Drosophila melanogaster: one gene and its partner. The protein of the gene in region 1 interacts with the protein of each later gene in a pairwise test. Each region holds a gene or a part of one and is shown in the gene's direction. Other genes may lie near its edges. The genes, in order: Cpr72Ea and hale.

Evidence for each region.
Region 2: the proteins of Cpr72Ea (region 1) and hale interact in a two-hybrid assay, tested with the Drosophila melanogaster proteins (2 studies listed by BioGRID).

What each region holds. Positions count from the first base shown.
Region 1 is NT_037436.4:16,360,740-16,364,338, forward strand, and holds Cpr72Ea (cuticular protein 72Ea), read left to right. Parts: upstream 1-1,863; 5' UTR 1,864-1,910; coding exon 1,911-2,936; 3' UTR 2,937-3,011; downstream 3,012-3,599.
Region 2 is NT_037436.4:19,983,848-19,987,619, reverse strand, and holds hale (hale-bopp), read left to right. Parts: upstream 1-1,751; 5' UTR 1,752-1,844; coding exon 1,845-2,065; intron 2,066-2,124; coding exon 2,125-3,124; 3' UTR 3,125-3,194; downstream 3,195-3,772. Other genes in the region: schuy (schumacher-levy), read right to left, coding at 1-837, 901-1,456; CG17732 (uncharacterized protein), read right to left, coding at 3,429-3,772.

The sequences.
Region 1 (3,599 bases):
TTCGTTTGCTCTTTTTTTCTAGGACATAAAATCAAAGTACTCCCAGTCCTGAAAAATGAAAAACATGATTCTTGCCACCTGGCCTATCTTAAGTGCACCTTTAATTAGCCACGAAGGCAGTTCAAAGAACCAATGGTGGTACACAAATCAGGGCACAGTCCACTCGAGACAGAACAAAGGGAGTGAACCAAGTGGACCGGACTATATTGCCAATCCAACTTCAATTCCAGGCCAGAACTAACCAGCTCATTAAGCCAGGCTGGAATGGTTGTAGAGAATTGGGCTTTGATTGAAACTGAGTGCCAACGGGGCTAACATTAAAACGCACTTATCAGCCGAGCCGTCAAGGCCAATCCAATGTGGTTCTTGCAGTTGCTCCTCCTCCTCCTCCTAATCGGGAGCGAAGTTTAAGCACCAGAGATCTGAGGCATCCGATAAGCCCGCTGCTAAAAATAAAAATGACCAGCGAAGGAGGAACAGGAGATACCAATGCAGCTGCAGTGCATCAGAGGCGGATGGGAAACATATTCTTAGGGGGTTTTCTTAGTGTCCGGTTGAAATAAGTATATATCTTCAGTGTATACTATAAGGTGTCTAAAAATTCACATTATATTATTTATTTAGCGGACTTAACGATTTAATTAACCCTTTTCTGTGTCATATTTGTAAGCTCTTCGCATAAAACATATATTTCTTATGTACATACATATGTATCTAACCAAGTATTATAATTTTTAAGGGTACTTATGACCCCCCTAAGACCCCCATTTTGTTCGCCACTGGAGTGCATGACTCCCGTGTCCAAGCTGTGGCCAAATGTGGCCCTTGGCCTTCACTCACCTTGAGATGCCGTTGTTGTCGTCGTCGGTTGTTGCCACAGTTGTTGCATTTGCTGTTGCAGTTGAAGTTGCTGTTGTTGTCGTGGCCCCGTTGCAGTGTGCGAACAAAAAGGAGGCTGAGATGCCACAATGCTGTGGCAGCAACAACGATTGCATATCAATTACACGCTGGTCTGGATGCGGTCTTTGGCCTTGATGGTCCACCCAGCCAAGGCCCTTGGCTCGCTTGCAGATCCAGATGCAGATGCAGATGGAGATGCCAGGCAGCGATTGCTCCTCCCGCTGCGGAGAACCAGGGTCTGCCTCCCTCATTTGGGCCCACTCCAGCCTTGGCCACAATTAAACCAAATTGACAACGCCTTCACGAGGCGTCGATCCCCAAAAGGGGAGTGAAAGGCGGAGCTGCAATGTCCGTTAACGACACAAGTGGACACGACGACGCATTCGCATCTCCTCGTTTGCATTGAAGTGCATCTGATGGATACATTTGGAGAAAAAATTAATTGGCTGTTTACTATTTTAAAATGTGACAGATATTATTACTATTAGGTTATTCTTTAATGAAATACGTGTGCTTGTACAAATTTGATGAATTCTATTTAAGTACAATAAACCACCTTTTTTATCAATAATAAAATATTTTTTTAATGATTGTCATAATCATAAAATTAAAATTTCAGGAATTTAAGAACAGTCTTTTTTAGCAATATTATTATTTATATGCATTTAAATTTATGTTTTAAGCTTTGTACAAATCATTATTAAACAAATTACGAACTACTTATTTTTGGATTTAATTTAAGTCATAAAAATCACGTTACTATATTAGGGTAAAAGAGCATAAAACATTTGTATACTCTCTTAGATAATAATATGGCATACTTTTAGAATTTTTTCGCAGTGTATCAGAATAGAAGCATCTGACCGGCAGGAACCTCAGCCAGAACCAGAACCTAGAACTCGCGAAAGAACCTGCTGGGTATAAAAGGATGAAGACCTAGGCTCAGAATCAACAGTTACCAGTGAACTGACGAACAAGACTCACTCGAAGCAATCTTCCACTGCCCAACCATGAAGTATCCACTTCTGCTGTTAGGAAGCCTCAGCTTGGCCCACGGACTGGCCTTGTACTATCCCTATGCGTACACTGCCGAGGGATCCGCCGTGTTCACGCCCACCCAGCGCCAGTATATCGCCAAGGATGAGTTGGGTCAGTACTCCTATGGCTATTCGGAACCATTGTCCAGCAAACAGGAGACCCGCACCCTAGACGGAATCACCCAAGGATACTATAGTTACCGGGATGCGGCGGGAAAGCTGCAAACGGTTAACTATGTGGCCGACAACAAAGGTTTCCATGTGGCAGCCACTAATCTGCCAAAGGCTAAAGTTCCCCAGGAGTCGCTAGAATTTAGTCCCAGGAGCGCGTCGCATCCAGTAGACCACCATGTTGAGCATCACGCGGAGGTGTCGCATGCTGTAGTTCAGCATCCTGTTGGCCACCATCCCATTGAAGTTCCACATCATCACACTGTTGTTGAAAGCGGACGAAGTGCTCATCCAGATGGACATCATCCCGTCGAGCACCACGAGCACCGCGTTGCTGTAGCTCAGCATCCTGTTGGCCATCATCCCGTGGAAGTTCCACATCATCACACTGTTGTCGAAACCGGCCGAAGTGCTCATCCAGATGGACATCATCCCGTCGAGCACCATGAGCACCCCGTTGCTGTAGCTCAGCATCCTGTTGGCAACCATCCCGTTGAGGTTCCTCATCATCACACTGTCGTTGAGAGCGGTCGAAGTGCTCATCCAGAGGTGCCCCATTCTATCGAACACCACGAGCACCCGGTTTCTGGCTCAGACCCATCCGGATCCCATGGTGGCCACTCCCAATTGCCTCATCCCGTTTCTGATACCGCAGAAGTGGCTGCGGCCAAGTCGCTTCATCTTCAACGCGTCCACGATGAAGGCGTGCGCAACCAGGTGCTGGCCAAGATTCCAGTTGCTGTGGCTCGCAGCCACCATGTCGTGGTTCCTGCTCCGGTCTACGGCTACACCATTCCCAGGTACTACACCCCCGGATTTTACTATTGAATGGCAGCTGAATTCGCACGATTTGGTTCATTATTTAAGAATTTCGAATTTAAATTAAAAAATTGTCAATCAGTCTGCAACGTTTCTTTTGAAGTGGTAATGGGATAATATAAAGAAATTTTTAGCAAATTCATTTTGGTAACACAATATTTGTTCGAAATATATTCTTTCTAAGTATTCTTTCTAAAATTATTCTTCAATCAACAAATTTCTTTATAATTTCTAGTTTTAACATTTGTATCTTTATTTGAATATAATCATAACTAAACTCGCGACACCTAAAGTTCAAGATCCGGCTGAACTGAACCCTTTAGCTGCCCAACTCCTGGACTCACGGAACACGTTCACTCGGACCCTGTCCTACCTCAACCTTTTGGCCCCCCGACCCACCGATCACATTCCACATATGTGCAGCATAAACTCTTCATAAATGTGGGCCGAATTTTGATTTCAATTAAATTTAATAGCAGCATAAACAACGGCAAAGGCAACAACCTAAATAACTAAAACTGGAATTGGTAGCCGGCGTGTCCTATAGCCCCACCCGGTTCCTTGACCCCTATCCGGATGATTTGCAGCTCACACTGAGAGAAACAAATGACCAATAAGTATGACACATTTTTATAAAAGTTTAAAAGTGCTGTTAAAACATGGTAACTCTTG
Region 2 (3,772 bases), 3.6 Mb from region 1:
TTGGTTTCAAGGGGCAGCAGACACTTTGGGCTTGTTGCTGCTGCTGCTGTGATTGGAACACCTGTTGGTTGTTGAAGGGTCCCAGGCAGTGGCAACAAGGATGGGGGTGCGTCCTGCACTGGGAACACTGGTTGCACAAGGATTGGCACGAGCAACAGGGATAAAATCCTCCAGAAATCGGAATATTCGGCTGCTGCTGCAGCGCACAAGTGGAGGTTCCGAGAACTGGGTGCATCATGTGCTGGCTGATCTGACCACCTAATCCCATAGAAGGATGTGATTCCATGCTCGACAAAGGACAGCAGGATGTACCACCGTTGTAGCAGCCGTTTGCAAAACTCTCCGGCTTCAACATGCAGCAGTTGCTTCCGTTGGCTGGACATTGATACTGATTGCCCATCTGCATTGGGCAGACTTGACTCGTCCTCGACGGACAGCAATTGCTGCACGTGCAGCAGGAGCAGCTGGACATGCTGCTCGGCGTGGCGCACAGGAACTGCTGGCCAGGATACATGACAGGACAACCCGATGTTGCCGTCCCCGGCTGATTCATGTGCATAAAACTGATGGTCACATATGGCGAGTTGTTGGTCGGTTGAACTCGCACGTTCGGGTGTTGCTGCAGCGTCAAATGCTGCTGCATATGTTGCTGCTGCTGCTGCAGCACATTCTGCTGCATGTTCTGATGTTGCAGCAAGGACATTTGCTGTTGATGCTGCTCATTCAGCGACGGTTGTCGCTGTTGTTGCTGTTGCTCCCGATTTAATTTTAAAAGTTTTTGTCGGACCTGGGCTGCAGTTTGAAGGGATAACTTCCGAGCGGCTTGTACAGTGTTACCTGGGGAATAAAGAGGGAGGAAGGAACATAAATATAGAAGCAATCTAAAATGAATAATATAACCTTTCTGGTTGCTATTGCTGGTGGTTGGATACTGCGGAAAGGCTTTGTCCGTCTGGGATCCTGCATTAGAAATGGCGTAGGAACGCGAGGTCTGCTGCGTCTGACACTTGCCGGTTTGGTCTTCCTTCGACTGTTCTATGTCCTGTTGAATCCGATTCCTAGCCAAAGCATCCTCGAGAACCACGAACGAAGGTCTATTCGCCAGATCCTTGTTGCAGATCTTAACGAAAGGCGGCAAAGTTTCGGTTTTCTTGATCTCCTCTATGGACTTGTCATTCTTGCTCTTCTCCAGCTTTTCAGTTGAGTCATCATCGATGTCATTTGAATTCCCTTTGAGCACAGCTATGCACTCTTTCTTGGTTTCCTTAGTGCCATTCGTCAGTGGGGAGTTACTACTGTCTGCTCCGCTTTGGGGATTCTTGCATTCCTGATTAAGTGAGCTAATTTCGATGAGACCATCAGTGCCCACGGTAATCATGAAACAGCATTTGGCCACCGTTTCGTCATTTGATTTGGCCAATTGCCCTGATGATTCATTCTCGCCTGGGGCCTCCATTTTCCTGAATTTTGATGTGTTTTCCGGGTGTTGTGAGTTGATGTTTCCTAACGCATATCAAAAAGTATATCAGGCGACAAATGTACTGTCAACTTTGAAATGCTCATCGAAACTGGATTTCCCTTACTGTGTAAGTAGTGACCAAAACGTTCTTGGTGTTTAAGATTTTAGAACCATATTAATATTAATAAGATAAAATTATTTAAAAACTTGAAACAGTATTTATTTCTTAAAATAATTCAAATTATATACTAGAGAAGCAAGTCTGGTATCAATCAGTATGTCTCAGCTTTATGATGTCAAACATTTCTACACCTTTTGTGCTTTAACATGTACACAAAATTGTCATATCCGTGAGTTGGCCTCTCCGGGTGGTGAAGAGTTGAAGATGTTCTGCACGGAGAGCTGTGAGCACGGATGCAATGCAACCTCGTCGGGCAAGCTGATCGCCAATGGAAACGGTGGCGGCCTGCAGTCGCAGGGAAATTCACAGCATCAGTTCACCATGTCCTACGCTCCACTGTCGACCAACGATGTGCCCTCCAAGTCCGAGGTGGAACCACCGCGACTGGGCATGTGCCTGGTCACCGAGTGTCCAGAGGGTCTGAGGTAATTTATACATGAATTTCCATGAAAAGTGATTCGATTTCTACTCCCTTCCTCTCCAGCATTGACTGCAATGTGCCACTGCCGAATTCTTTCAATTTGGATGAATACAAAAATCACATGATCTGCTCGAGCTGTACCCAGTTCAATGGTGGCTTGGACAGATTTGGCCAGCCAGGTACAGCCGGTCCAAGTGCCAGTCCTAGTGCCAATCCATATCCAACTCCGATGCCCAATCCCATCCAGGCCTCTCCTTGCAGCTTTCATGGCCAGTGTTGTTCAGCCGGTGGACCATGCGCTGGATATGATTCGCAGCCAAATCCATCAAGATGCTATCGACAGGAATCATCGTTGGCTCAAGGAGCCCCAGCGATGCCGCAGATCTTTTGCCTGGCACCACCCAGTTCCCATGGTGGCTTAAATCAGCCCGTTTACTTGTGCAGCCTGATTCCAGTTCCGCCATCGTGGAACCTGGTGCCGCTGGCCCAACCGCAGCACTTGACGCATCAGCAGCTGCTGACGAATCCCGCACAGGACTCGCAGCTGCCGTTGCAGCAATTGGTGCAGTACGACCTGTCCTTCAATCGCCTGCTGGCCGAATTGCGCAAGGAACGGGAGAGGTCCTGTTGTGACCTGCAGATCCCCCAGCCTCTGGCTTTCCAGCTGTATGCGCCCACGGTTAGGTTTCTAGATCAGCCAGATTCCAGTTCGGCGAAGAGAGAGCCTCATTGCCCGCCGGCAGCTCCTTGTGCTCCTCCAGCTGCACCACCACAACCACCATCCTCGTCATCATCCCCAACAGCCACATCTGCCTCCGCCGCCGGGCTGCCAAGAGCTCGTTCGGCCAGCCCGAAGCGCAGTCGTTCGTGTCTCCGGAACAAGGATCTCTGGGACAGTGGCGGATCCGTACCAGGTCCATCCCCCTGCTCCTCGCCCACCCAACATGCGACCGGAAATGTGTGCATGAAGTGCGGAAACTGCTGGCATTGTCCGCGCTGCAACTGCTCCAACTGCTTCTGGCATCCCGGCTTGGTGCGAGCTCCTCCAAGAGATGGTCGCTAGGGAAGGGGACTAAGAGCCACTCCTACACTGTAAAAGAAGAAAGTGTAATAAAATTCCAAGACTTTTAAGCAAGCAGCTTGCCACTATTTCTTAATTGAATTCAATAATAAGAATATTTATTCTTGCAATATGAAGAGAGAGTCACTTTTAAGGTTTTTTTTTCGTTTATTAGTTTGTAATATTTAAACCCTATTTATAAATATTTTATGATACATAAAAAATGAATTCTTTCACAATTTCTACAGCAGCTAGGACTTATATCACAAGTAATGTTCGTTAAACAATGAACTGTAATTAAAAGTAATTATCGATCAGCCTGCATGTTCATAAAGCTAGCCACGTAGTTGGACATGACCGAGTTTATTCCGAAATGGTCGTTTCTGGGCTCAAGGGGTTGGGATTGCAAATTCCGGTGGCCGGGCAAGATCAGCGAAGCTGGCGGCAAGGGAGTTCTTATTTGGCAAGGATACGGATCCGTTCCCAGCTCAGAAATCCTTGTGCGACAACGCCTCACTTTCCGGGCAGAGGGACTAACTTGGGTGCAGGTCCTGCTGCTGGATTGGCAATACGGAGGTGGCGGAAGGAGAAATCTTTGCTGCAGCTCAACTGCCGTGGTATGCGACTCGGGTGCTTGGTAGTTCTGCTGCT